2 linked regions of the Danio rerio genome follow. The protein of the gene in region 1 interacts with the protein of each later gene in a biochemical or structural test. Links are inferred from orthologs where the notes say so. Each region holds a gene or a part of one and is shown in the gene's direction. Other genes may lie near its edges.

What was found.
Region 2: the proteins of hip1 (region 1) and cltb form a complex in vitro, tested with the Homo sapiens proteins (2 studies listed by BioGRID, with this or other methods). The link is inferred for Danio rerio from reciprocal best matches to the Homo sapiens genes HIP1 and CLTB.

The regions. Positions count from the first base shown.
Region 1 is NC_133190.1:19,379,135-19,382,966, reverse strand, and holds part of hip1 (huntingtin-interacting protein 1), read left to right. Parts: intron 1-773; coding exon 774-881; intron 882-3,518; coding exon 3,519-3,655; intron 3,656-3,832. UniProt on the Homo sapiens protein: Plays a role in clathrin-mediated endocytosis and trafficking. Involved in regulating AMPA receptor trafficking in the central nervous system in an NMDA-dependent manner. Regulates presynaptic nerve terminal activity.
Region 2 is NC_133189.1:56,170,668-56,175,185, reverse strand, and holds the start of cltb (clathrin light chain B), read left to right. Parts: upstream 1-1,671; 5' UTR 1,672-1,893; coding exon 1,894-2,074; intron 2,075-4,518. UniProt on the Homo sapiens protein: Clathrin is the major protein of the polyhedral coat of coated pits and vesicles.

The DNA.
Region 1 (3,832 bases):
GTGTGTGTGTGTGTGTGTGTATATAAATATATATATATATATATATGTATATATGTATATATGTGTATATATATATATATATATATATATATATATATATATATACACATAAACATACTCATACATACCATGGTAATGATTTAAATATAAAGGATATGGCACAAAAAGTAATCTAATTTAAGGTGGTGTCATTTAATAATAGCTTAAAAGCTTTTTTTTCCCAGTAAAAGACACTTTACCAAAACACAGACAATTTTTGTAAAAAAAGAAAAAAGCTGTAAACTGCTAACCAAAGCATTTTAGGCCTTAGTATTGTTTAAATGATAATTTTACACTCAGTCTGAGCAAAGTGTATCATGAAACAAACGTTCTGAATCAGTAAGTGGTCCTAAACAGTCTGGCTGTTGTCTGAGCTCCTATGCTGGTAAGGGTGTGCAATACATATAGTGACACATATATGATGTGTTATTTTGCAATGTTACGCCACTGACTGTTGGGAAAAATAGTTAACACATCTGAAAAATTGAACAATCCACACAGTTTTGAAAACAGCCATGCTATCATCAACTACTGAAAACTTTCCTACTCCCTGTTTTTGCTTTGTATTTAGCTCAAAAATATACAACTAAATCCTTTACCAGTAAAGCCCTGAGCACCATGAATGCATTCAGACTTCGTTTCATCACTTTTGTTGACACTTAATTCCTCAATTGAGATGAGAAACGCTCATATGATCCTGTTGTAACACTGATTTTCCTGTCTGTGTGTAACAGATGTGTCTGGACTGGTGCGGGCAGTGACTCAGTTTGCTCACCTGGTGGGCGATGTCATCGTGCAGGGCAGCGCCACCTCCCACATGGTGCCAGTGGAGCAAGCTGACGGTGAGCATGACACATTTATCATTTCAACACCTTCCTATTCAGGTTTACATCATGTAATCACATCAAAATGCAAAACGAATGCATATTTATATGCAAATGCTTTATCGAAAATATATAAAGGGCAGTATCTGCCTAGCTCATGTTAATCTCGAGTACCTATAGAGTAGAACTGCATCATTCATATCTTTGACGAGTCTTTCATTGAGCAATATTTGCAAAAATTACAGCATCACATGTCTATGTGGGATTTACTGTAATCATTTGCTTGGTCGTAAACGACGAAGTCTCCTTTCATGATGTCATCGTATATTTTTCTGCATTTGTCCATTGTAAAACATCTACATGTGGGTAGTCCAGTGCAATGTCAATTTAAGTAGTAAACATTTGGTGGTCAGCTAAACAAAAATATTTAAACACACATCGTGGGATTATGCCTGAGTAACGTTTGGTCAACTTTACAGTATGTTTGTGTTGTTTATAAAGCTGTGGTGAAAAATAGTTTTGAGAAATCGAATTTGGGTTGGCGCCAATAGCTTAGAGGTACTGTGTTCTGACATACAGTATATAGCAGAGTGCTCATGCCGGTGACCCTAGTTTGATTCCCAGCTCAAGGTCCTTTGCCGATCCTTCCCCTCTCTGCTCCCAATGCTTTCCTGTCTGAAATCTCCCCTATTCTATATCATAGTAATGGTAAAAACTTAGCGATTTTTTTTTTGGACCTGTACTTAGTTTTTAACAGCAGATGGCTTTCTAGGCTAGTTTTTTAATTATAACATTAATCATACACTGAAATTCTCATGAAAAGCTCTCAGAAAGTTGTTTTTTTATGTCAGGTGTTAACGTAAACAGCTAACTTCAAACACACTTGTAATTCACTTGAACCAAAAATAATTATTCATTAAGTTAGCAAAGGTTTAAGTGGTATTTGTAAGGAACTGAATGCAAGCTGAGTATGGTTGTTCGTAAAGCATACAGCAGCATCTGCTATTAAAAAATAAGCTCAGAATCCATTCAAGCTAGAAAAACTGTGTAATTTGCTGTTAAGTGTCTAAAGTACTGAAAAGTGTCGTCAACACTTTTCTAAACACATAATAGTTTTAATAACTATCTCTAATAACTGATTTATTTTATCTTTCTAATAACTGATTTATTTTATTATAACATTACTAATAACTGATTTATTTTATCTTTACCATGATGACTGACTGTACATATTATTTTACTATATATTTTTCAAGACACTTCGATACAGCTTAAAGGAACATTTAAAGGCTTAAGTAGGTTTGTTAGGTTACCTAGGTAAAATGGAGTTTACTTTCATTCTCTCATTCACAGTGAAATAGGGGCTTCTGCTGTAAGTGTCAGTGGAAGAATGTCCAGCAAACACACATGCAGTGAAATTGTGCACAGTTTCTGCGTTTTTAAGAAGTTGGAGCATTTTAAATACTCGCGCTTGCCTCCCTCGCCATAGTAAGCTACGGCGACATGGCGCATATGAGATAAATGATGTTCATAAATGATGTACATAATAACCAGTTATGATCATTACTGAACCATACCAAATTGTCCTTATCTGCATCACACCAAAGACACAATTATTTTGACACCCCAAGTATTTACCATGGTATGTATTTTTCTGTCATTTCAAAATTTATTTTTACTTTGTGATAGTCTTTTAATCAATATGTTAATGGGAAAGTATGTGTGTGTGTGTGTCCAACATTTTGGTGAATTACATTTGTTTGAGTTTGTTATAAATTTGAAAATGATCACTTTTGCGATGACAAGGCTCCATTTCAATAGCTCAAGATGCCATCTGGCGGTAAGGGTAAATGATTAGCAGCAGTTTTCCATCCCATTGGATCTCATTTTTTAAATAATCAGTCCAGGAGGTGGCGCCGATCAACAGCAGTATCAGTTCAAAAGTGTTCAAAGCAAGTAAAGTAGATTAAAACTATCGTTTCAAAGCGATCATTACGCATCAAGCATCCTCCTTACGCATACACGCAAAGCATAATGGGAAATTTTGCGTTCTAAGAAAAAGGTCTATTGGCTTGCTCTAGTAATCTGACGAATTAACTCACCTCTCAGATCTAAAGACAACACTCATGACAAAACTGCTGAGTTTGTCAGTTTTTGGGGTCTCCCAACACATTTCTATTGTGGTCTGTACTATTTGCAGCATGTTTCTGTATTTGCATGTGTTGTGAGAATTTGTGTAGGTCTATTATCAAAATGATACTTGTAGCACATTTGAGCTATGTCAACTACCCTTTTGATATAAGTAGCATAATTGCACTCACTAAAATTAAAATGCTAAATATTTTAAAACCGCACTGTATTATCACGTAGAGACGTCCAAGAAACTGACTTTGTTTAAGTTGCTCTCCATACATCACAAGGGTCATTCCAATCATTGTGGTTCTGTTAATAACTGGCCGCCGGGGGTCTGGGGGTTTGGTTTCAAGTTGCTTTTAAAGAGCATGGCATAACTCAAAGCGACTAATGTGCTGTGCCCACGTGCACAATGCAATCATGTCATTCATTGCAGCAAATGTGTCTGTTGGAGCGTATGTGGAGTGTCTGCAGGTGACAGATGGCTAGTCTGACTGCTTTCTGCTTTTTGTCTGTGGGCAGCATTGGCAGACAGCGTGAAGGCGTGTGGCGCAGAGGCCCTGACGCTGCTCTGCCAGCTCAAGGAGCAGGAGTCTATGGGGGCGGCAGACTGTAGTCGGCTGAGGACGGCACTAGATTCTGTCAAGGCCTTGGGCGAGGTGAGAGTCAGTCTGGGTTTTAGTTTAAGAAAACAGTTGATTGAACAGCAATGTTGGCAGGGCTCTGATATGTTTTGGGCATTTGAGTATCTGCTTGGGGGTCTTTCCTCATTTCAGCCCCATTTTTTTCCGCTCACTTTTTGCCAGTCTGTCTTGCTCAGTCTAAATAAAGGCACA
Region 2 (4,518 bases), on another chromosome or scaffold:
GCCCTCCAGGACCGAGTATGGGCACCCCTGATTTAGATGCATATCACTGATGAGAAGATGATGGATATTTACTGTATGATGACCGAAATGGCCTTAAACACCCAGCAGGCACAAGACGTCAACATGCCGTCAGATTGAAATTGTACCCTAACGTCGTGGAGACGCTGCATTTTGTTTGGAAATGAAAATCGGGTTTACATCAGAACTCAACATCAGCCTGATGTCAATGTCCAACGTCCAACCTCAAACCAACCAAATATCAACGTCTAATGATGTTACAGCTTGACGTTGTGTCGACGTTACCACTATGACGTCTATCAGACGTTGAATTTTGGTTGCCATAACTGATGAATAAATGTCAGTATTTGACGTCAATAGGATGTTGATTTAAGATGTCGGCTCTACATTGGATTTTGGTCACTTTCTAACAACCTAAAATCAACCAAATATCAACGTCATTTGATGTCATTATTGGACATGAAAATAATGTCCTTAGACGCTGGCTAGACATAGAATTTTGGTCACCTGACATTACAACCTAAATCAAACCTATTAACGTCTTATAACGTTGTGTGCCTGCTGGGCAATAAATATATGCACTACAGAATGTTACGTTTACACACATCCACGAATTACATGTAAATGCATCAACTTTTAACAGCGTAATACTCACTTTTAAAAGGGCTACTGTTTACTCCTACTTTGAGTAATATTTACGACAGGTACTTTTACTCTACTCACACTACATTTTTAGGCAAGTAATGGTACTTTTACTTAAGTATGCTTTTTTTTTACTTAAGTATTAGTTAAGTATGCTTTTTACATACTCTTTCCACCACTGGGTGCAACTTCCTTAATATGCACGATATTGCTTCGAAGATTATTACCTGTTATGCTGTGTTCACACCAGACGCTGAATGCAAATTTGACCTTATTTATATAGCACATTTAAATTCAACTTCAGTTGGCTTAAGTGCTATACAGAGTTAAAAAAGAGTCATGAAAAACATTAATAATACAGATTAAGCAAAGCAAAACAATTAATAAGTAAAAATCCTTATGCATTCATTTTCCTTCGGTCCCTTAATTTATTAGGGGTCGCCACAGCGGAATGAACCGCCAACGTATCCAGCATATGCTTATTATGCAGAGAATGCCCTTCCAGCTGCAACCCATTACTGGAAAAACACCCATACACACTCATTCACACACACACTCATACACTATACGGCCAGTTTAGTTAATCAATTCCCCAATAGTGCATGTGTTTAGACTGTGGGGGAAGCTGGAGCACTCAGAGGAGACCTAAGGCAACATGTGGAGAACATGCAAACTCCACACAGAAATGCCAACTGGCCCAGCCAGGACTCAAACCAGCGACCTTCTTCCTATGAAGCCACAGTGCTAACCACTAAACCACCATGTCACCCTTAATAAATTATTTGAAATTAAAAGCACATGGGAAAATATGTGAAAGTTTGATTAAAAAGATAAGTACAGATTGCTTTTCAACACTCTTCAGAATATCTTGCTTTATGCGCAACAGAATAAAAGTTAATTTTGTGTGAACTGTCCCTTTAAATCCAACTCTGCTGCACTACACACTCTGTCCGGCAGATGGGGACAAAACGCCACAAATCATCACCTAACTATGCGCTCAATATTGATATTACAGATTTTTGTTCTAGCACTCCCTACTAACGTTTGAGCTGTGCGTCATTCAACCGCTGTCAGTAAAAAAGTGAAATAAATACTTTAAATAAGTCTACAACGTTCAGACCAGTCTAAGTTCACCCTTTATCAGCTAATCGACTTGTGAACTGGCTGAAGAAGAAAACAGCTGGAGTGTTTTAGCGTAGCTTTTTTACGGAAGCCGGTGTTACTTTATCAAACATGGCTGACGACTTCGGTTTTTCCGCCTTCGACAACGGAGTTCATACAGAAGAAGATCCCGCCGCCGCCTTTCTGGCCCAGCAGGAGAATGAAATCGCGGTGATTGAGAACGACAGCACTGGGTTCAGTTTACCGGAGGACGGAGGAGCGGCGCCCGCAGACACCTACACCATGTCCGGCGGTGAGCCAGCGCGAGTCCCGGCGGCCGCAAACACACACCCGTGCTCACGTATTACCGCTTTATATTGTGTATAAAGTATAGTACAGAGTGCCTGTTATGTATAAGTAGCAGTAGTGTAATGTACCATGGTATTTTTGGAGAACCAGGTACGTAAATGTGTAATAAATGAGTATCAATCACTTCTTAAAATGTGAGTTACCATAGTATTGTAAAAAAACACAGTATTTTAGTTTTAAATAACTTTTTCCCATGGTATATTTTCAAAAAGTATATATTATATTATATTATTTTATATTATATTGAAATACTATGGTATCACCACTGAATACTGCCACTTTACCATAGTACTAGTAACTTACAGCAGTACTTTCAGTAACTATTTTGTGACTTTGTTTAATATAAATATTACAAATTATGCACAACTAATAATATAAATCATCATCGTTATTACTCGGTACTTAAATGCACACAAAAACTATAACACAGATTAGGCTACTTGCGATAAAGTAGCGGTAACGTTACTGTAACATACCATGGTATTTTTGCAGAACCAAATACATAAATGAGTAATAATGAGTATAAATCACTTCTTATAATGTTAGTTACCATGGTATTGTAAAAAGAATAGTGTTTTTGTTTATAATAAATTATTTTTCCATGGTATTTTTAGAATAAGTATATTATATTATAATATATTCTATTATAATACTATGGTATTACCACTGATTATTGCAACTTTACCATAGTACTAGTAACTGCAGTACTTACTTTCAGTAACTTTATTTTGTGTCCTTGTTTAATATTAATCTCACAAATTATGTGTAACTGATAATATGAATCACCATTGTTATTACTGAGTACTTAAATGCACACAAAAAGTATAACAGTGTGCTTTCGTACAAGTAGCAGTAGTGTAATGTACCATGTTTTTTTTTTTTTGAAGAACCAGGTACATTAATGTGTAATAAATGAGTAAAAATCACTTACTAAAATGTGTATATCATGGTATTTGACAATTCCTTGCAAAAAATATAGATACTTCATTGAAAGGATTTTTTTAATGAATATTCTATTCTATTATATTGAAATACTATGGTATCACCACCAGATACCGCCACTTTACCATAGTACTAGAACAACAGTACTTTCAGTTTCACTCGTTTACAGCTCTAATTAGTGCATATTATAAGGTATAATACAGTGTCTGTTCCGTATATGTAGCAGTACTGTTATGTACCAGGTGCATGAATGTGTAATAAATGAAGTTCAAATCACTTCTTAGTGTTCATGGTATTGACAATGATTAGTAAAAAGAATCGATACAGTATTTTTGGTTAAAATAACTTTTTCCTATGGTATTTTATCTAAAAAGTATATTATATTATATTAAAAATCTATGATATCACTACTGTATACAGCCACTTTCCCATAGTACTAGTAACTTACAGCAGTACTTTCAGTACCTTTATTTTGTCACAGAAACGCCAACTGACCCAGCCGAGGCTCGAACCAGCGAACTTCTCGCTGTGAGGCGACAGCACTACCTACTGCGCCACTGCGTCACCATTAAAACTTTTTTTCAGAAAAAAGGAAACATTTAATTTAAAATAAATAAAGAAAATAAATAAACTCTAAAAAAGTTAGCAGCCCTAATAAAATAAAAAAAATTAATGAAATTAAATATTATCACTCATCCTCTTCTAAATAAGAGTCGCATTGCTAAATATAGAAAATTGCAAAAAATGACATTTGTACTTGCATAAAAATAAAGGAGCAAAATAAATAACACAAAACTTAAAATAGCAAAAACAAAATCAAACCTAATATCTTCAAAACACTAAATAACAGAATTTGTAAAAAATAAATAACTAAATAAATAAAGTGCAGATTTATGCTTTAACTAAACACTTAAAACATGCAAGTAAAAAAAAATAAACATTTAAAACTTTTTTAATGCAAATCCACTTAGATCCACTTGTCTTGTAAACAAAGCAAGTATTTCATATATACATATATATTGACTAGAGGGCTGCATGGTGGTGCTGTGGGTAGCATGATCGCCTCACAGCAAGAAGGTCGCTGGTTCGAGCCTCGGCTGGGTCAGTTGACATTTTGGGTCAGTTTGCATGTTCTCCCAGTGTTGCCGTGGGTTTCCTCCGGGTGCTCCGGTTTCCCCCACAGTCCAAACACACTATAGGTGCATTGGATAAACTAAATTGTCCGTAGTGTATGTATGTGATTGAGTGTGTGTGGATGTTTTCCAGTGATGGGATGCAGCTGGAAGGGCATCCACTGCATAAAACATATGCTGGATAAGTTGGCGGTTCATTCCGCTGTGGCGACCCCTGATTAATAAAGGGAGTAAGCCAGAAAGAAAATGAATGAATGAATGAAAATTGACTAGAAGACAAAAAATATTACATTACAAACTGCAATTTTACATA